3 linked regions of the Stegostoma tigrinum genome follow. Each later gene encodes a partner of the first gene's protein in a complex. Links are inferred from orthologs where the notes say so. Each region holds a gene or a part of one and is shown in the gene's direction. Other genes may lie near its edges. The genes, in order: kcnd2, Kv channel-interacting protein 1 and Kv channel-interacting protein 2.

Evidence for each region.
Region 2: the proteins of kcnd2 (region 1) and Kv channel-interacting protein 1 are in contact, whole or in part, in a cryo-EM structure (PDB 7E8E), measured with the Homo sapiens proteins. The link is inferred for Stegostoma tigrinum from reciprocal best matches to the Homo sapiens genes KCND2 and KCNIP1. Residues at the interface, in NP_036413.1 of Homo sapiens: Ala2, Val5, Ala7, Trp8, Pro10, Phe11, Ala12, Arg13, Ala14, Ala15, Ala16, Ile17, Gly18, Trp19, Met20, Pro21, Val22, Ala23, Ser24, Gly25, Met27, Ala29, Pro30, Gln33, Arg35, Lys36, Arg37, Thr38, Gln39, Asp40; in NP_001030009.1 of Homo sapiens: Thr60, Arg62, Glu63, Val66, Leu67, Arg69, Gly70, Phe71, Asn73, Glu74, Phe85, Ile88, Tyr89, Gln91, Phe92, Tyr101, Leu105, Phe109, Phe122, Leu126, Leu129, Leu130, Lys137, Thr141, Leu144, Tyr145, Val162, Ile165, His185, Phe189.
Region 3: the proteins of kcnd2 (region 1) and Kv channel-interacting protein 2 are in contact, whole or in part, in a cryo-EM structure (PDB 7UKH), measured with the Homo sapiens proteins. The link is inferred for Stegostoma tigrinum from reciprocal best matches to the Homo sapiens genes KCND2 and KCNIP2. Residues at the interface, in NP_036413.1 of Homo sapiens: Val5, Ala7, Trp8, Leu9, Pro10, Phe11, Ala12, Arg13, Ala14, Ala15, Ile17, Gly18, Trp19, Met20, Pro21, Val22, Ala23, Ser24, Gly25, Pro26, Met27, Pro28, Ala29, Pro30, Trp55, Asp57, Arg61, Arg100; in NP_775283.1 of Homo sapiens: Arg112, Gly113, Phe114, Asn116, Glu117, Cys118, Val123, Phe128, Ile131, Tyr132, Gln134, Phe135, Phe136, Tyr144, Leu148, Phe152, Phe165, Leu169, Ile172, Leu173, Arg180, Trp183, Ala184, Leu187, Tyr188, Met201, Met205, Ile208, Met211, His228.

What each region holds. Positions count from the first base shown.
Region 1 is NC_081371.1:36,346,969-36,354,068, forward strand, and holds the start of kcnd2 (potassium voltage-gated channel subfamily D member 2), read left to right. Parts: upstream 1-3,992; 5' UTR 3,993-4,717; intron 4,718-5,005; 5' UTR 5,006-5,114; coding exon 5,115-6,226; intron 6,227-7,100. UniProt on the Homo sapiens protein: Voltage-gated potassium channel that mediates transmembrane potassium transport in excitable membranes, primarily in the brain. Mediates the major part of the dendritic A-type current I(SA) in brain neurons.
Region 2 is NC_081366.1:63,376,994-63,384,559, reverse strand, and holds the start of Kv channel-interacting protein 1, read left to right. Parts: upstream 1-4,465; 5' UTR 4,466-5,313; coding exon 5,314-5,416; intron 5,417-7,566. UniProt on the Homo sapiens protein: Regulatory subunit of Kv4/D (Shal)-type voltage-gated rapidly inactivating A-type potassium channels. Regulates channel density, inactivation kinetics and rate of recovery from inactivation in a calcium-dependent and isoform-specific manner.
Region 3 is NC_081373.1:13,470,180-13,477,096, reverse strand, and holds the start of Kv channel-interacting protein 2, read left to right. Parts: upstream 1-3,905; 5' UTR 3,906-3,923; exon of another isoform or gene 3,924-4,381; 5' UTR 4,382-4,400; coding exon 4,401-4,518; intron 4,519-6,917. UniProt on the Homo sapiens protein: Regulatory subunit of Kv4/D (Shal)-type voltage-gated rapidly inactivating A-type potassium channels. Modulates channel density, inactivation kinetics and rate of recovery from inactivation in a calcium-dependent and isoform-specific manner.

The sequences.
Region 1 (7,100 bases):
GGCTGTGATTCGGTAAATTATAAATGTACCAAGCAAAGACAGTTCAGTTGAACAAAGAAAGACGGAGAAGTTGAAAAGTGGCATTTGTTGCCAGGCAATGAGGGATGGTTGTAGAGCATTATCTAAACATTTGGAATTGTTAACAGTACCAGTTAACATGGGGGCCAGTAAGGCAAAATGAGTCACCAACAGCTTGGTTGCAATAGGATTGAGAAGATGTAGCTGGACTTTGTGGGCTAACTAAGGTTGGAAAGCGCATTCCAGGAGATAGGATGGCATCTACAGAAAGATATATGTTCAGGTTAATAACTGTTGGGGAACTTTGTCCAAAACATATTATCTAGTCATTCTTAAATCCATTTAAGGGGTGTGGGTATTGCTGGATAAGTCTGCATTTATTGCTCATTCTTAACTACCCAGAGTGTAGTCAAGCATCATCCATATTGTTTAGGGTCTGAATTTGCATGTAAGCCAAACCAGGTGAGGATCTTTCCCTAAAGGACATTAGTGAGCAAGATGGTGTTTTCCCAACAATCAGCAACAGTTTCTTGGACATCAGTAGACCCTTAACACTAGATACTTTATTAAATTCAAATTTCTCCATCTGCTATGGCAAGATGGCACACGTCAAGAATCTGATGGAATACTCCTCACTTGCCGGGATGGGTGCAGCTCCAACAGCATTCAAGAAGCTTGATACTGTCCAGGACAAAGCAGCCCACTTGATTGGCACCACAACCACAAACATTCACTCCCAACACCAGTGATTCTCAGTAGCAGCAGCATGTACTATCTATAAGATGTACTGCAGAAATTCACCAAAGATTCCCAGGGCAGTACCTGGGTCTCTGGAATAATAGTCTTGTGATAGTACCACAAGGCCAACATCTCCCCTGCTGTTAATGGATCTTGCTGTATTCAACTTAGTTTCTCTGCTTGGTTGTAAAGCTCCTTGGAATGTTCTGAGACTGAAAAGCACCAAATGAGTACAAGTTTACCTACTTTATTGAAAAAATACAATTGAGTTCAAAGGGATATAAGAACATAGTTTGCCCCTCAAGCCTGTTCCACCATTATGTGAGATTATAGCTGATTGTCCAATCTTTTAATGCCATTGGTAAACAAGAACCTATCAACCCAACATTTAACAATGACCAAGTATCATTTTGCCATTTTGTGTAAGTGTGTTCCCCAAACCCCCTGGATCTCCCTACCAGGAAAAATAATTTCTCCCAAACCATCTAGTCTATTCCCTGTAATATTCTCAGAATCTCAAATCGCCTTCTAAAGCTTTCTAAATTTGATGGAATACTAGTTATGTAATCTGTACATGTGTTTTAACTCATGGAGTTGAGGTATCAATCTGGTAAATCCATAACGTGATGTAGGAAGTTGATGGGTGACCTCAAGAAACTGTGGAGAATCATGAAGGGCAGCAATAAGATGAATAGCAAAGGCCTTTTCCTAAGGTGTGAGAGTTCAAAGCTAGGGATCATTTTTTAAGGTGAGAGGAGAAAAATTTAAAAAGGACACAAGAGGAAACATGCTTACACAAAAAGTGGTTAGTGTGTGGAATAAATTGCCAGAAGAAGTGGTGAATGCGGGTACAGTTACAATATTCAAACACATTTAGATAAATACATGAATCGGAAAGGTTTGGAGGGATACGGACCAAACACAGACAGGTAGGACTAGTTTAGTTTGAGAACATAGTTGATGTGGACTATATAGCCCAAAGGGTCTGTTTCCATGCTGAATGACTTTAAGGAATTGTAGGTTTGGAAGGTGCGTCTAATGATCTTTGGTGAATTTCTGCAGTACATCTTATAAATAGTACATGCTGCTGCTACTGAGAATCAGTGGTGATGGAAATGAATGTTTGTGGATGTGGTGCCAATTAAGTGGGCTGCTTTGTCCTGGACAATGTCGAGCTTCTTGAGTGTTGTCGGAGCTGCACCCATCCAAGCGAGTGAGGAGTATTCCATCACGTTCTTGACTTTTGCCTTGTTAACAGTGGACAGGCTTTGGAGATTCAGGAGGTGAGTAACTCACTGCAGTATTGCTAGCCTCTTGCCAACTCTTGAAACCTCTATTAATGTGTCGAGTCCAATTGAGTTTCCAGTCAATGGTAACCTCCAGTACGTTGATAGTGGGGATTCAGTGACAGTAAAACCAGTGAATGTCAGGGTGGGGGTGGGGGTGGTAGTGTTAGATTGTCTTTTACTGGAGATTACAGTTGCCTGGCATTTGTGGTGTGCAAATGTTACTTACCACTTGTCAGCTTAACTACTGTCCAGATTTTGTTGCATTTGAATATTGACTCCTTCAGTATCTGAGGACTTGCGAATTATGATCAACATTGTGAAATAATCGGTGACTATGCCCACTTCTGACATTCTGATGGAGGACGGTCCTTGATGAAGCAGCTAAAGAGGTTTGGGCCTAGATCGCTATCCTGTTCAGAAACTGACCTGTGAAGGAACTGAGGGTTTGATCAGCTGAAAACTTTCAATTTGTTCATTCACTAAATCCTTAATTATAGATACTAGGAATAGCCCAACAACAGATGACAGGTGAAGTGAACTATCATTCCTCTCTCACATTTCCTAAAAGGTGAAATGGTACACACTCTTTTCCAATGTAAAAGAACAGTTCCCGAATTGACAGTGGTCTCACTTCCTTTAAAATTATAACTTAGAAGCCATCTGATATTGGGAATCTATCCCTCTTTTATGATACCAATTTATTCAGGGTGACAATTCTGGATTTTGTGGTTTTAATATCTGTCCTGTATCCTGTGTGAAATCAGTGTCAGCACCATTTGTTATGTATCTCAAATTGTGCCCTAAAGTCTGGTGCTTCTGACAAGCTGAAAAATTCTGGTCTCCAGGGTAGTGATATAAAGTTGTGTCTGATCAAACATTCATTACCTGGGGACGTCCACCATGCTGAAGTCTATCACACCTGTAAATATTAACACAAAGTAATTACTCAATATGTCTGCCATTTCCTAATTTTCATTTTACTATTAGCAGTTTTTCTCACATCCCCAGATGATCTTCTAATTCCCATGCAATATTTTTGAGTTAACCTTGATATTCCTTGTAAGTTTATTTTCATGCTTTTTGTAATATTTCTACATTCTGTTTTACATTCTCATTTGTCAAGATTTGCGTATGTTTTTTCTTGTTTTTTTTCATTGTCTTTGGTCTTTTCTTTCTCAGCATCTTTCCTCTTAGGGAGTTCTAAATTGGTTCTACATCATCTATTATTTTTGAAATACCTCCAACTGATTTCAGATCATATTTGCTACTAACGGATTTGCTAAGTTCACTGATGACAGTTTTGCTTATCGCATTGAAGTCAGCGTAACTGTAACTTAGAAACTGATGAGCTGTTTTGCCTTTATCATTAAATTGAATGATATCACAACATGATCTACATTAGATAAAATATTCACACATCATTAGGCTGTGTTACCTAAATCTGAATGGTTACTTATTACTAAATCTTAAATTAGGAAACTTATCCAAGACACATTAAAGAAATTCACAACCTTTGCAACATTTTTTTTCTTATTGACCTGGAAGATAAAAGATTTTGCTACGTTTGTCTAATCTCTGCTGTTATCTAATCTACCACTTCATAGCTGCTAAGAGGCAACCTATACACAATCTCCACTAGTCTTAAATTACCTTATTTATTAATTCTACCAATAATGCGTCTAATATTTGCTTATCTCTCACTGAAGTGATTTCATCCACAATCAACCACAAAAGCACTTTATCATTAAATTCAAAAAACTTGACGTGTTTGTGAAATTAAAACGACGAAATGTTGAAAAATGTGGTATAATGTTAAGGCCTCACCAACCTCTTTAATCATCTCCCGAATCTCTTACATACAACAGTTTTGGTTATGTTTGCCATTCTCAAACAGCTCAGCCTCTATCCTGAATTTTGTCGCCCTCTATAGGGCGAACTATTTGACGTGGGCTCGCAGCAAAGGAAATAGGATTGAATGCTCCGATAAATTGAGAAAGCTGAAACGCGTCTTCGAACGGCTGAAATGTTCTCCCACAATCGTCTCTTCCCTATTTGTTTGTAAACGGTACAGAAAACGATTCGACGGCAAAGGACCACAACACTTACTTTAAACGACGAGCGCCGGATATTAGAATGAACTCTCGATAATTTTTTGAGGTTAAATTTTCTGCTCATTCCAGTTTCAACAAAGTGCTATTTTGAACAAGTTCTGTCTCCAATTCATATCCACTACAACCTAAGCTGTATATCCTTAAAAAAACCTGCAGGTTTTGATTTTACATTGAACACAATAGCTGATGGTTATGAACCACCCACACGATCTCAGAGCAAGGAAGTTCAACTGCGCCCTCAGTCTTGCGAGTGGCTCCTTATATTCTGTGTATAAATGTATATGCAAACGATCTCGCCTTCTTTTAGAGGTACTGTACTGCAAAGAGTGGAGAAGTGGAATATGTTGAGGTCTCGTATCGCTACTGGATCGTCGAGCGTGATTACGTTTCCTGAACTTGTTGCTGGTGGACTGAAAAGCTCTATTTGAGGGATTCTCCTGTCACGGCTCCGGTTCAGGTTCTTCGTATTTTCTATACATATGTCCATTAACGTGTAGTGGATTGAAGTGATACAGCACCGAAATCTGAATGCATCAGACAAGTGGCCGACTCTTCAGAGAGGTAGGACAACAAACAGTTAAAATATTCTTTTGATAACACCTGGTAAATTTCTGTTTGGCTGTTAAGTTGATGCCCGTGTAGGAGCACAACTGCAATAATAAGACGGTTACGGGTTAAAATGTGTGTGTGTGTGTGTGCATGTGTATGTGAGAGAGTGGAAAACACAAGAGATGGGGAATTCTGCGAAATAAATATTTTGAGACCGGGCAAGGGTACGCCGCGAGGAGTTTTTGTTTTATTTCAACACGATCGCAAAATTACATTGGGTTGCCTCCTTTATCTTTCTAGATGTCAGGCGTGCGGCATCAAGCGTGGTTCTGAATCGGGGAAGCGACCTGTATCTCCCTGTGACACCCTCCCAGCCAGCCAGCCAGGCAGGCAGTAAAGTATCGGAGCGATGGCAGCGGGAGTAGCCGCCTGGCTCCCGTTTGCCCGGGCGGCCGCTATCGGATGGATGCCGGTGGCCAGCCAGCCCATGCCCGCCGCCCCCAGCGAGAGGAAGCGGCCCCAGGACGGGCTGGTCATCCTGAATGTGAGCGGCAGGCGCTTCCAGACGTGGAGGAGCACTTTGGAGAGGTACCCGGACACTTTGCTGGGCAGCTCGGAGAAAGACTTCTTCTACAACGAGGAGATCCGCGAGTATTTCTTCGACCGGGACCCTGACATCTTCAGGAGCATCCTGAATTTTTACCGGACCGGCAAGCTGCACTACCCGAGGCACGAGTGCATCTCGGCTTACGACGAGGAGCTCTCCTTCTTCGGCATCATCCCGGAGATCATCGGCGACTGCTGCTACGAAGAATACAAGGACCGAAAGCGGGAAAACATCGAGCGGATCATGGACGACGCCGAGGACGACATCAGCAGCGAGAACCGGCTGCCGTCCATGACCGCCCGCCAAAAGGTGTGGCGGGCTTTCGAGAACCCGCACACCAGCACCTTGGCACTCGTCTTCTACTACGTGACGGGCTTCTTCATCGCGGTGTCGGTGATGGCCAACGTGGTGGAGACGGTGCCGTGCGGCTCGCTGCCGGGCAGTGTGAAGGAGTTGCCGTGCGGTGAGCGCTACGCCCTGGCCTTCTTCTGCCTGGATACAGCGTGCGTCATGATCTTCACGGTCGAGTACCTGCTCCGCCTCGTGGCGGCCCCCAGCCGTTACCGCTTCGTGCGCAGCGTCATGAGCATCATCGACGTGGTCGCCATCATGCCCTACTACATCGGCCTGGTCATGACCGACAACGAGGATGTCAGCGGCGCCTTCGTCACCCTGCGCGTTTTCCGCGTCTTCAGGATATTCAAGTTCTCCCGCCACTCGCAGGGCCTGCGCATCCTGGGCTACACCCTCAAGAGCTGCGCCTCGGAGCTCGGCTTCCTCCTCTTCTCCCTCACCATGGCCATCATCATCTTCGCCACCGTCATGTTCTACGCCGAGAAGGGCTCCTCCGCCACCAAGTTCACCAGCATCCCGGCCGCCTTCTGGTACACCATCGTCACCATGACCACCCTGGGGTAAGTGCTTCTCTAGGCCACTTGTCTGTTTTCTTTGTTTCATCTCCCCCAATCCCTCTCCTGCTGCGTCTCGTTGTGTTGGGCTGGAGGAGGGGGAATGGATGTCGCCGATTATTGAGTGGTTCCCGCGGGTAGAAGAGGTTGTCAAGTCAGTCTCGAGGACTGGGCAGCCCATACGAAGTGTGTTTGGAGCCAGTCCTTGGTGGTATCGGCCAGTCTTGGACAGAACTTTATGTTCTTGCATTGGAAACCAGTATGGAGAAGGTGTGAAATGAATCACAAATTCTAATTATCTGCTAGCAGTGACAATCCTTATAAGTGTGGCTATAAGGTGAAGAAATCTAAACTTTTGTTAGATTATTTCACTCTGGTTCCTTGACATCATCTTGAAAACATGGAGTCTTTCCCTCCTGTCCTACCCATCTGTACGTAAGGTTTCCCTGCAGAATTGATCTTTGTTCGTAGTTTCACATTGCAACCTAAGTCACCTCTAAATAACCTTTTAGAGTTACAGTAATGTCAGAATTACTGTAACTCTAAAAGATTATTTAGAGATGACTTAAATTTTTCAACCTCACAGCACTGTGTTGCCAGCAAGTTTGAAACTCTACTTAGAAAGGAAGGTGTGAGGTAGCACAGCACTTTTGATATGTTGGTGTATAAAGCTAAAACCAGTTTTTTTAAGCAAAGTAATGTTGTTTTCTTTGAACTCAACAGATGTTGATGATCTGTAAAACATGAGAACACTGGTGTACAAAATGTCAGCCTGTCCCAGTTACCTCTGTTTAGGCTAAGAGGACAGACATCTTCCCAAGTGGATGAAGAGAATCAGACATTTTGGTCAATCATACCTAGTAAAAACATGGCCATGGGA
Region 2 (7,566 bases), on another chromosome or scaffold:
GCCACTTGCGAAGATCTTTGCATCCTCGCTCTCCACTGGAGTCGTACCTGAGGACTGGAGAGAGGCAAATGTAATTCCTCTCTTCAAGAAAGGAAATAGGGAAATCCCCGGCAATTATAGACCGGTAAGTCTCACGTCTGTCGTCTGCAAGGTGTTAGAATGGATTCTGAGGGATAAGATTTATGACCATCTGGAAGAGCATGGCTTGATCAAATACAGTCAACACGGCTTTGTGAGGGGTAGGTCATGCCTTACAAACCTTATCGAGTTTTTTGAGGATGTGACTAGTAAGGTTGATGAGGGTCGAGCTGTGGATGTGGTGTATATGGACTTCAGTAAGGCATTTGATAAGGTTCCCCATGGAAGGCTCATTCAGAAGGTCAGGAGGAATGGGATACAGGGGAACTTAGCTGCTTGGATACAGAATTGGCTGGCCAACAGAAGACAGCGTGTGGTAGTAGAAGGAAAATATTCTGCCTGGAAGTCAGTGGTGAGTGGGGTTCCACAGGGCTCTGTCCTTGGGCCTCTACTGTTTGTAATTTTTATTAATGACTTGGACGAGGGAATTGAAGGATGGGTCAGCAAGTTTGCAGACGACACAAAGGTCGGAGGTGTCGTTGACAGTGTAGAGGGCTGTTGTAGGCTGCAGCGGGACATTGACAGGATGCAGAGATGGGCTGAGAGGTGGCAGATGGAGTTCAACCTGGATAAATGCGAGGTGATGCATTTTGGAAGGTCGAATTTGAAAGCTGAGTACAGGATTAAGGATAGGATTCTTGGCAGCGTGGAGGAACAGAGGGATCTTGGTGTGCAGATACATAGATCCCTTAAAATGGCCACCCAAGTGGACAGGGTTGTTAAGAAAGCATATGGTGTTTTGGCTTTCATTAACAGGGGGATTGAGTTTAAGAGTCGTGAGATCTTGTTGCAGCTCTATAAAACTTTGGTTAGACCGCACTTGGAATACTGCGTCCAGTTCTGGGCGCCCTATTATAGGAAAGATGTGGATGCTTTGGAGAGGGTTCAGAGGAGGTTTACCAGGATGCTGCCTGGACTGGAGGGCTTATCTTATGAAGAGAGGTTGACTGAGCTCGGTCTCTTTTCATTGGAGAAAAGGAGGAGGAGAGGGGACCTAATTGAGGTATACAAGATAATGAGAGGCATAGATAGAGTCGATAGCCAGAGACTATTTCCCAGGGCAGAAATGGCTAGCACGAGGGGTCATAGTTTTAAGCTGGTTGGTGGAAAGTATAGAGGGGATGTCAGAGGCAGGTTCTTTACGCAGAGAGTTGTGAGAGCATGGAATGCGTTGCCAGCAGCAGTTGTGGAAGCAAGGTCATTGGGGTCATTTAAGAGACTGCTGGACATGTATATGGTCACAGAAATTTGAGGGTGCATCCATGAGGATCAATGGTCGGCACAACATTGTGGGCTGAAGGGCCTGTTCTGTGCTGTACTGTTCTATGTTCTATGTTCTATGTAACTGTACTGCTCCCATTCTCTGGCCATAAAGATTCATCAAAGAAAGTGCTAAACAAGGATGTGGAACATCCTGTTCCCATGACAACTCGACTTTAAAGCAGCAGTGGTTTTCCAGTACAATGAACCTGAGTTATTGATGACGATTTCATTCTGTGTAGTAGTGTTCAGTAAGTATAGAACTGACAGCATCCATTGAAGTCAGAGCTGTCATTGACTGTTTGTGAAGACACTACAATGGAGTTTCCTCCACTACCATCCACCCAAACTCTGCAGATGTGACTGCGAGTGGCTTTGGACAAAGTGATTGTCAGCCTCTTACTTAATCTTGTTGTGTGGCATTGGGAAACCAAAAAAGGCTGTTCTCAATATTAGTGCCCCATTCAGGTCAAAGAGGGTCAGTGTTGCAGTTCAAATGTGTATTAAATAGCAATCGCAAAATGCACAGTTTTAGCGGGTGGACATTTGAGCTGTCTAGTGATTGGAAAACCTGCCAGTAGAGGATTTGATTCTTCCTGTGGTCAATGCCCTTTCTCCACACTTCCTGAACACTGAGGGGAAAAAAGAGTACTTTTTTTGATGTTGATAGGGGATATGGCAGGCACTATCCAGACATGCAATTATTGTCCAACCCTCTCGATATGGGGTGGTGAGCTGCCTTCTTGAACCACTGTAGCTTTTGTGATAAATTCACTACACTGTTATGAAGGGAGCTCCAGGATTTTGACCCAGTAACAGTGAAGCCTAATTTGATGCTGTAAAATGCTTCCACTTTTGATCATTTTGTCGGACTGTAGCTGTTTGATACAACTGAATGGCTTGCCAGGCCAATTTGGAGGACATTTGAGACTAAAACACATCACTGTGGGTGTGGAGTCACGTGTAGGCCAGGTTGGGTAGGGATGGCAGATTTCTTTCACTAATACCTAAGATTGTGTTTTTATAACTATTGGCAGTGGTTACAGGGTCACCATGAGGCTATCTGCTATGATAGAATTCAGCCCATATCCCTGACATATTAGCCTGGAGCACTTGATTACCAGTCCAGTGACATCACTACTGTGCCACCACCTTCTGCAAGCATTGCTACCCATTATATAAATGATCCACTACATAACATATCCCACTTTGCATCACATCCTACTATACAACCCACACTTATACAACTCACCTATAATGCAACCCACCCATTATACAACCCACCCATTATATAACACACGTATTATACAATCTAACCATTAATGAATACACCTACAATACTACACATCTATTATACAGCCCACTCGCTGTACAACCCACCTATTATACAAGCTACACATCATACAATCCACCCATTATGCAACACACCTACTATGCCACCCATCTATTATTCCAACCACTTAGTATACAACCAACAAATTGTACAACCCATGTTTTATATAACACATCTATTATACCACCCATCTATGATACAATGCACTCATTACATAACCCACCCTCTACATAAGCCACCCACTACGTAACCCATCCACCAGCTCAATCAGTAGCTTTTGGTGATGGACATTGTAATCTCCCATCCAAAGTACATTCTGAACCCTTCCCACCCGCAGGGTTTCCTCCAAGTGTTGTTCAACATGAAGGAGTACTAACTCATCAGCTGATAGAGGATGGAGTGTGGTAATCAGCTGGAGGTTTCCTTGCTAATATTTAACCTTATGCCATGAGACTTCACGGGGTCCTGAGTCAATACTGTGGATTCCCAGAGCATCTTCCTCCAACTGTATATCACAGTGCTGCCACCTCTGCTGGATCTGTCCTAATGGTGAGGGAGGGTAGTGATGATGGTGCCTGGGATATTGTCTGTAAGATATACAACCAAGCCATTATATCACTCACCTAGTATGACTTAGCCATTGTATCACCCACACAACATACCACCACCCAAAAAATAAACCACCTAGTACACAAAATTTTGTGTTGCCGTAGTCTGACCAGACTATATGGCTTCTTTCTCATTTGAGAGAGTTGATTAATGGTGATTTAACTGAGGGCTACCATACCTCAGATGATGAGAGAAGTTGAGAAGAGCTTTCCATTGCTTTCCAACGAAATATCCAGTGAACTGAACTAAATCAACCCCCTTTATACCTTGTAACCACTCACCCAGTTTACCACTCTCACATTTTACAACCCAACCTACAATACAAATCTCACACCTACACTGGTTAGCCCTGATGCTTCACATTGCCAGGGACCCAGGAGCGATTCCAGCCTTGGGCAACTGTCTATGTGAAGTGTACATGTTCTCCCCATGTCTGCGTGAGTTTCCTCTGGGTGCTCTGGTTTGCTCCCACCATCTAAAGATATGGGGGTTAGGTGGATTGACAATGCTAAATTGGTTCATAGTGTCCAGGAATGTGTAGGCTAGGTAGATTGACCATAGCAAAAGCAAGATTATGGAAATAGAGTGGGGGGAGTGTCTGAGTGGGATGCTGTTCAGGAGGTCACTGCAGATTTGATGGGCTGAATGGCTTCTGTCTACACTGTAGGGATTCTTTGATTCTCAGATTCCACAACCTATCCATTATACCCATTCATCGCACTTTCGCTAATTACGCAGCCATCGGTTAAACATCTGTGCATTATACATGGCCTGTAATACATTCACTCTTGAAACACCTACCTGTGAAGCACTCATGCCTATTGCACACTCATACGTTGTACACTGTGCACTGCACACTCGTATGGTACACGCCCATTTGTTATGCATTAATAGATTACACACACCTGTAACACCCTCAATTCTACAGATCTACTTATTCACCACCAGTACACAACCAGCCATGATGCATCTGCCTCTTTACACTTCCCTGTGATACACGAGTCTGCAAGATTATTGTTAGTTACACATCTGCCAATTTTGAATACGTAGGGAGAGGTGTCTCTGGAAATGGGCGGCAAGGTGGTTCAGTGGTTCGCGCTGCTGCCTCGTAGCGCCAGAGCTCACGTTCGATTCCACCCTCAGGTGACTGGCTGTATGGAGTTTGCACGTTCTCCCAGTATCTGTGCCGGTTTCCTCCAGATACTCTGGTTTTCTTCCATCATTCAAGGATGTGTGGATTAGTCTGGGAAATGTGGGGTTACAGGGTAGGGTGGTGGACCTGGATGGGGTGCGCTTCGGAGGGTTAGTGTGGTCTCGATGTGAGTTTGCTCGCTGAGCTGGAAGGTTGGTTTTCAAACGTTTCGTCACCATTCTAGGTAACATCATCAGTGAGCCTCCGACGAAGCGCTGGTGTTTTGTTCCGCTTTCTATTTATCTGTTTAGGTTAGTGTGGTCTTAATGAGCCGAATGGCCTGCTTCCACCTGTAGGGTTTCTAGGATTCAAACACTAGATGTGAAATTGGGGAAAATAACAGTATCGTGTCCGCTGTGTAATTTTTCACCAGTGTTACATTGAGTTCCGAATGAGATGTTGACATTAGTAATCTGGTCCACTCCCCAGTCCCGTGGGTCTATCACTGCCTGTGAAAGGTCTGTTTGGTATGCGTTGGTAGAGAACACAGCCTTTGGTGGTGACTACTGAGAGCTGGTGAAACACGAGAGTGCGGACAGCTACAGACAACGTTTGTTTCCGCTTCGATCTGGCGGCTGCGTCAGTCAATGTAGCTCTGTGACAGCCCACAGTGTTCAGCTGAGGGAATTGAAGTAGCCTTGAACTCACGTTGGAGGAATAACAGTGCAAAGCATTCGCAATCAATCTCACCAACACGTGTGTGTGTGTGCAAATGTGGAAGTAGCTCCAGGCGCCTGATTTTTCCGAACACACTGTGGGTCCAGCACGCCTTCACAGCTGAATGCAAAAAGGAACTGAGTACAAGAGAACGAGAAAGACATTCAGAATGGGAGCAGTGATGGGTACGTTATCCCTGCCAACAAAACAGAGGAGACATTCAAGAGGTAAGGTGCTGGAAGCAGCCACAGCCTGTGATTTGCTTCACGTCTTCATTCTCTCTGAGCGAAGGCTTGTACACTGAAGCCTGGTTTAAAGCAGGCAATCGCCCGGAATAGACGTGTGTTTCTACAGCGATAATACCTTTTGCTTGATTTCAAGTTCATTTGAAATCTTGTCGCAGCTGCAGGAATGGTAGGGAGTGTGAGCTGGCCCTTGTGCTCTTCGTACTCAAGCTGGTGTTGCAGGATGGGGCGTATCTGAAATAATTGCAGGAGGTACATAGCAATATTACTGAAACCGAACCGGAAATGTATCCGATAATAAACTAAAACTTACAAAGTGATGTACTGAAACGTAACGATTAATAGAATGAAACTTTCTGCTAACATTGTGAACACAGTCTCAGCAAGATAGAGTAAGGAATACAGTAATATAGTAGGATAACAGAAATTGCTGGAAAATCTCAACAGGTCTGCCAGTGACTTATTCAGAAATGGACAGTTATATATAGTGTCACTTATCAATAATATAATGTAATAAAATTGAAAAACAGTGTTACTTACCCAGTAGTATAGCTTCCCATTAATTTAGTGTAATCATTTCATAACGTAGTGCAACAAAACCAGCAACATTTACTTACTCCATAATATAGTGTTACAAACCTAGTAATATATAGAAAATACTCATTAACATAATGGAACACACAAAGGAATATAGTGAAATATAGTAGGATCATAGAGATGTACAGTACAGAAACAGACCTTTTGCTTTAACTCATTCATGCTGACCAGATATCCCAAATTAATCCAGTCCTATTTGCCAGTATTTGGCCCATATCCCTCTAAACCCTTCCTATTCATATACCCATCCAGATGCCTTTAAAATGTTGTAATTATGCCTGCCTCCACCACCTTCTTTGATGGCTCAATCCATTCATGCTCCACCCGCTGTGTGAAAAGTTACCCCTTTACTCCCTTTTTAATCCTTCCCCTCTCACCTTGATCCTTTGCTCTCTAGTTTTGGACTTCCTTACCCTGGGGAAAAGGCCTTGGCAGTTCACCCTATCCATGCCCCTTGTGATTTTGGAAATTTCTATAAGGCCATCCCCCAGCTTCTGATGCTCTGGGGAAAATAGCCCCAGCCTATTCAACCTCTCCCTATAGCTCAAACCCTCCAACCTTGGCAATGTCCTTGTAAATATTTTCTGAACCATTTCAAGTTTCACAATATCTTTGCTATAGCAGGGAGCCTAGAACTGAATGCAGTATTCCGACAGTGGCCCAACCAATGTCCTAGACAGCTGCAACATGACCTCCCAACTCCTATACTCAACACACTAACCAGTAAAGACAATCATACCAAACATCATCGTCACCACACTGTCAACCTGCGACCCCAGTTTCAATGAACTATCAACCTGCAACCTGTATGTTCGGCAAAACTCTCCAGGACTTTACCATTAAGTGTGCAAGTCCTGGCTTGCCAAAATGCAGCACTTCACATTTATCTAAATTAAACTCCATCTGCCGCTCCTCGGCCTATTTGCTCAACTGATCAAGGTCCTGTTGTACTCTAAGGTAACCACTATCTGCTGCACCACCAATTTTCGTATCATCTGCAAATTTATTAACTGCACCTCCAATGTTCACATCCAAATCATTTATATAAATGACAAAAAGCTATGCACTCAGCATCAATCCTTGCTGTGCACAGCTGGCCACAGGCTTCCAACCTGAAAAGCTACCCTCTACCATCACCCTCTGTCTCCTACCTTCAAGCCAATTTTGTATCCAAAATGGCTGGCTCATCCTGTATTCTCTGTGATCTAACCTGGCTAAACTGCCTACCGTGTGGAACCTTGTTGAATGCCTTAATGATGTCCATGCAGTCATCGTCCACTACTCTGCCTTCGTCTGTCTCCTTTGTCACTTCAAAAAACTCAATGAAGTTAGTGAAACACAATTTCCTACACACAAAGCCATGTTAACTATCCCTAATCAGTCCTTGCCTTTCCAAATACATGTAAATGCTGCCCCTCAGAATACCCTTCAGTGATGTGTGAACCACTGATGCCAGGTTCAGTGGTCTGTAATTCCCTGGTTTTCCTTTCCACCTTTTCTTATATAATGCCACAATGTAAGCTAACCTCTAGTCT
Region 3 (6,917 bases), on another chromosome or scaffold:
AAAAACAACTGAGACAGTGAGAGTTTAACAGATCACAGAAACCCTTCAGTGTTCGGGGAAGGCCATCTGTCCCACTGAATCCACACTGTCCCTCCGAAGAGCATCCCACCCACCTTACCTGCATATCTTTGGACTGTGGTAGGAAATTGGAACAAACCCACACAGACCCAGGGAGAATGTGCAAACTGTACACAGACAGTTGCCTGAGGGTGGCGTTGAACCTAGGTCCTTAGCGCTGTGAAGTAGCAATGCTAATCACTGAGCCACCATGCCACTCCAATCCACCCCCTGTTTCGGGCCATTCATCCCCATGGAAGATACTGAATTTTTTACAGCCTGTAATTTGTGAAGTGTAGCCACTGTTGTCATGGGGGAAATGCAGCAGCCAAATTATGCACAGCAAGATCCCACAATCCTAAGTAATCCATTTCCACAGTGATGACATGTTGAGGAGCGTATACTGACTCGATCCTCTGCTCTTCCTTATAGTAGTGCTGTGGGTCATTTGAATCCACCTGAAAGGGACAGAGGAGCAGCTTGTTTCAGTTATACTGATGAAAATGGCCTCTCTAGTGGTGCGTCTCTCACATAACGCAGCCAGCTCCCTCAAACCACTGGAGTGGGTCTTCTCCCCACAACTCTGTCTTAGAATGCTGCTACTGGGCCCAACATAGGGCAGGACATTTGGGCTGATGTGATTTTCTAGTACAGTCAGAGCACTCCAAGACCAAACAGAATCCCAGCCTCTCGGTGATAGCAAGAACTGCAGATGGTGGAGGCTTCATCATGATTGCTGTAGGGTGTAAACTCGACTCTCCTGCTCCCCTGATCTGCTGCATTCCTCCAGCTCCACGCTGTGTTGACTCAGAACCCAAGTCTTCTTTGGAGCCAAAATAACAACATTACCAGCTGGCATTCTCCATCCAACGACACCTCTGCGATCCCAAGGCTGCGGAGGTAAAAAATGAGATTTCCCCAGATATGTCAATATTGATATCACCAGATGGCATTGCCAGTGTGCTCTCCTGAAAGTTAAACAGCTGCTCCTCATTCACAGCAGACAGCCATTGACTGACAACTCAGGAAGGATATATAAAAAAGGGGAGGCTATTCAGCTCCCCCCCCCAAGCCTGTTCTGCTATTCAACTACATTGGCACCTTCATTCTAAACACACATCTTAACTGATTAACTGAGCTGACATCTTCCACTTTCTGGGGGCTGGGTGTGGGTTCCGCATTTGTGTGAAGGCATGATCCCTGAACCACTTCCAAGGGCCTGACTCTCATCTTAAGATAATATCCGTTTCTTTGAGACTCTCCAACCAACACTTAAAGTTTCCTTCCAGCCGGGCTATCGGTTCCTTTCCAAATCAGGCTTTACTCAAATCAAACCTGAGCCCCTTATTTTCCAGTAATTCCGAGAATCAAACTTTGTTTACATTATGACAAACATTGAGGATGCTGAGGACATGAATGGAACCGAACAGCAATTATGAAGAGAGACATATCCATTTTTAATCCTTGTACACTCCTCCCTGGCCCAGGGGTGCTTGTTGAGGACAGTGTAGAGGAAGCTTTACTCTGTATTTAACCTCATGCTGTCCCTGTCCTGGGAGTGTTTGATGAGGATACTGTAGAGGGATCTTTAACCCCATGCTAAGCCTATTGCTGGGAGTGTTTGATGGAAACAACAAGTATAAAAGGAATTATAATTTCCCTGTGCCCTGTACTGTCTCCCATTTTAAGCAAACTATGAACCGTTTACATGTTAAAAGCTGGATCTTAAAATAAAGCATCACAAAGCTCTTCCTTTCACAAACGTTTCCTGTTGCCATGACACCGAGAGACTTATGGATAACTTGTTAGAGTCAATTGTTAGAGTCAATAAAACACGTTGGGAAGATTGAGGCTGGCATCAACACTTTATCATAGTAATATCCGCGAGCATGTGACTGTATGTGCGATATCTCTGACAGAGAGCGGTCTAACAGGATGTTTCAATATCAAGGGGGGAAGCACACTGCTAGGGACTGTAACTGTGAGAGTGAGAAAGTGAGAATTAGTATGTGAGAATGTGAATGACTGCGAGGGTGTGTGTGTGAAAACCTGGAGTTTGAGAAGATGAGTATGATTGAGTACGACACAATGTGAAAATGTCAGAGTGCAAGGATGAGAGAGTGTGTGTGTGTGTGTGTGTGTGTGCGCTCGAGAGAGAGTGCACGTGTGTGAGAATGTAAGAGAATAAGTGTGCGTGCACGCACAATTAGATGACAGAGCGGGTGAGAATGAAAATGAGTGAGTATGTCAGTGTGTGTGAGTGTGCACAAGTAGTTGAGAGTGTGTGTGAGTGTGCTTGTGAAAGTGACTGTGACATACACACGAGGCTACTCTGCGTGGGGACAGGTACAGAGTACGAAGCCAAGATGTTTTGCCTGTATAAAAATGTTTGAGTCCACTGTGAGTGCAGTTCCCAACTCTGAGCCCTGGCAGGATGTGTCAGTCCCTGGCTAAGGGCAGGTGCAGTGGGCATCTTCACACCTCGGAGAGTTTTACGACCTTACACAAAGCCATGATTGAGCACACATAGTTTATCATAAACACCAACTTCTATGCCTATTGAACCCATAGCAAAGCAGATGGTGAGATAGGGGGACAGGTGACCCATTTCTTTTTATTCATTCACAGGATGAGGGCATCACTGGCAAGCCAGCATTTATTCCCCTTCCCCAATTACCAGAGGGCAGCTAAGAGTCAATATTGCTGTGGGTTTGGAGTCAATGCGTAGGCCAGACCAGGTAAGGATGGCAGTTTCCCCTCCCTTAAGGGCATTAGTGAACCAATAATTGGCACAATGTCATCATTAGATACTTGAATTCAAATTCCACCATCTGCTGTGGCCATCACCTCCCCTTAAATAACTTAATCAGAGAGGAAGGTTTAAAAGACCAGATCAGAGGAAGACAAAGGTGTGGAGATTTTTAGGCAGTGACTTCCAGATAGGAGAGCACACAGGCAGCTAAAGACAAGGCCACTAAAAATGAAGAATCGGAAGAGTACAGGGATTGTAGAGATTTGTAGCGCCGGAGGAGATTATACGAAAGGGGATAGGAAGAGGCCATGGAGGGATAATTTTAGGCCAAGGCCAAGGACCAGCGTCAGTCAGCGAGCTGAGGAAAGATGGTCAAATGGGGCTTGGAGTTAGGGTATGCACAGCAGAGTTGGGGAAAGCCCTTGCAAAGACTTTGCACCTTCACAGAGAAGAGAGACGTCCATAATACAGGCAGTGTCACGGATCGGAGTCAGAATGGCACAGGGCACAACAGTGAAAGGGTGGGAGGGACATACAGTGAGGCAGAAGGCATATGTTCAATATGCAAGATATCAGTACAAAGAGGCTACAAATAGTATTAAGGAACACAGATTTTTACCTGCTCATGAGTTTTGCAGTCCTTCTTCATCTGCTGTGGATAGAAGTGTCTTGCTTTTCTTCTTCTGACACTGGGAGACCCACAGTGTACCCCCATCTCTCCTTTCTTCACAGCTCCACAGCTCCAATGCCTTTGTTTTCTTCCTTACCTGGGATCTCCTCCTCTGAAGTTGCAGGTCCAAGGTTCAGTGCTGCTCCTTGCCCTTCAGTGAGCCAGACAGTGACCTACAACAAAAGCACTCACCTTTTCTCAGGAGCAAAGAGTTTTCAGCAGAGAGGCTCCCGAAATGCCAGATCCAAGTGGGCATCACTTGACTGGCAACAGTGCTCGTTTTAACTGACATTGCCAAAGGGGAAAATCTGACTCAACCACTGAGTGTTTAAAAACACAACGTGCAGGCGCAGAAAGATTTGTAAACGATGGAACCCGCCCTCTCATCTTTGACAGTTCAGTTTATCAGGTTCTCTCACTGTGTCTGTCATCCTAACTCTCTGTGTATGTTTCTCACCGTAAATCCCACAAAATCCACTGCTTCCCCGTGACTCTCCTGTGCGTGTTCCTGTCTCTGTCTCCCGCTGTGAGTCTTTTCCCCCACCTCCCTGTTTCGTTCTGTGACTCTCACTCTGTTTGTCTGTCTCTGTCTCTCTGCCTTTGTGTCTGTCGCTGAGTCACCCATTCCATCTGTGTCAACTCTGCATCTCTTACTATCTACATATCTCTCTCTCTGCCTCTGTTTTCTCACTCTCTTTGCATCGCACTCTGTGATTCTCACTGTTTATCTCTCAGTGTCTTGTAGCCCAATCTGTCTTTTCATTCTGTGTGAATGAATCATTCTGTCTCTCAGTCTGTGCCTCTTACCCTGTTAATGACTTGTGCCTTTATGTTCGTATAATTTTCCATCTCTTGTGGCTCTGCGTCCATCTCCTGCTGCCCCACGAAAAATCCCAAACCAGATGACAGAAGGCAGTCGAGATGGTTTTAAATACGGACTGGGAGTCGGAGGGATTGCAGACTGTAGGGATTGTCTTTCTGGCTGTAAGTTCTCTGAAGCTGTTGCATTTCCTGGGACTGATTGATTTCTCCAGTGAAGGTAGGAAATGGGTGGCAGACCAAAAGTGCCCCCTCATTTATTTTTGTCTGAATTTTATTGGTTAACCTAGTCTAAGGTTCTTGAAGACTCTAAATTTGTAAACGATAGCTTAATTGCTAACTCTGATGGGAGACAAACACAAAGTCTATCATGCAGTCCCTGTCTGATCAGACTGGGGCTAAAAAAACAAGTGAGGAAATTGAGGTTAATTAGTTACAGCAGAAAAAGAACTACAGCCCAATTTGAGGGATTAAAAACTGACAAATCCCCAGGCCCTAATGGCCTACATTTGAGATTTTTAAAAGAGGTCGCTGCAGAGAAAGTAGATTCACTGGCGGATTGATAGTTAGCAAACATAACACTGTTATCTAAGGAAGGGGGCTGGAGAGAAAATAGGGAACTGCAGCTATATTATCCTGACATTAGTCCTTGGGGGAAAAAATGTGTTGGAATCAATTTTACATTCATGTGCTTGTGCACTAGCTCGGGCGTATGAGGTTGGCAGTTCGTCTTCTGATGCTTCATTGCCAGCCTGAGGTGCTTCTGGTCAGTCTCAAAGAAAGGGCAGATTTAGGTTTTACTACAACAGAATTGGGAATGAATCAGCAATATTCTAAAATACACGCTTGCCATTGATTCTAACCAACCCCCAATCTATTGTGAAGAAGGTCCTGACAATGGGCTTAGAAAAGCATAGTATGTTCGTACAAAGTTTTAAGAAAGAAAGGTCAAATTTAATTAATGAATTGTATGTTTTTGAGCAAATATTTAATTGGATTAATAGAGGGAACCAGTAAATGTGGTCTCCAAAGGCATACGATATAAGGTGCCACTCAAACAATTAATACGCTACGCATGAGCTCAAGGAGTTGGGTGTGATATATTAACAAGGAAAGCAGATTGCTCAACAAAGAGTAGGGATACATGGAGCCTGTTCATGTTGGCTGATAGTGGAGTGCCAGCACGAGGGTCAGTCATGGAGCCTCAGTCAATTTCAATCTTTATTAATGGTTTGAATGGGCAGAGGGTAATGTGCCCAAACTGGCTGATGATTCAAACTAGGGGCAGTATACATTGTGGGGAGAACACAAAGACACTGCAAAGACGTGTTGACAGATTAAGCACGTGTGCAATGAGGTAATAGATGGAGTATAATTTGGAGAAATGTGAGGTTATTCACTTTGAAAAGGTGTGAAAGTTCACACATCGACACTCAGAGAGACTTGGGTATTCTAGTGCACTGGCAAAGTGCAGCATTCTCACAAACCCTTGGGAATCACTGGCCCAAGACCATCCAGAGTGGAGGAGGGGCATCCGGGAAAACATTGAGCACCTCGAGACTTGCCGTCAGGAAGAAATGGAAACTGAGCGAAAGGAGTGCACCGCCACAATACCCCACCCACTCCCTGTGAGCACCACCTGCCCCAAGTGTAACAGAGCCTGCAGTAGCTGCGTTGGTCTGTACAGTTACCTACAGACTTATCCTCATCTGTGAAGAATCACCAATAATGATGATGATTGTTGTACAAGGTATACAGACAGACAGCACACAGGCACAACATGGGGAGACAATGGCCTAGTGGTATTATCGCTGGACTGTTAATCGAGAGACGCAGATAACATTCTGGGGACCTGGGTTTTTACTCCCACCAGGGCAGTTGGTGGCATTTGAATTCAATTTAAAAAACTGGAATTAACAGTCCAACGATGACCATGAATCCATTGTCGATTGTCAGGAAAACCCCGTCTGGTTCACAAATGCTCTTTAGGAAAGGAAAATGCCATCCTTACCTGGCCTGACCTACATGTGACTCCAGACCCACAGTAGTGTGGTTGACTCTCAACTGCCCTCTGGGTAACTGAGATGGGCAATGAATACTGCCCAATCAGTGATGTCCTCATCTCATGAAAGAATAAAGGAACAAGCAATTGGGAAGGTAGATGGCATATTGGCCTTTTTTGCAAGTGGCTTGAAGTACGTGAAAGAAGTTTTGTTATAATTGTACAGGGTCTTGCTGAGCTCACAGCCGGAGTACCGTGTGATTTATTACATATTTAAGGATGAATGCACTTGCATTGGAGATGGCACAGAGATGATTCAATAGTTTGGGTGCATTTACTCAGGTGAGAAGTTGCCAGGTCACCCCTGAAGAAAGCAAGTTTATTTCTCATCAATGATAGTAAACTTTGACTTTTAATTAGTGTGAACGAGTCACTTGCAAACAGGAGGAAGAAGAAAATTGAGAAGCAAACCCTGTGGATGGGGACCACCTGCCTAATCATCCAGCTTTCCCTTCACACGTAACACGCATGTTTTGTGTGTGTGTGTGTGTGTGTGTGTGTGTGTGTGTGTGTGTGTGTGTGTGTATCTGGGGGGGAGCAGTTTTTAAATGGGTTAG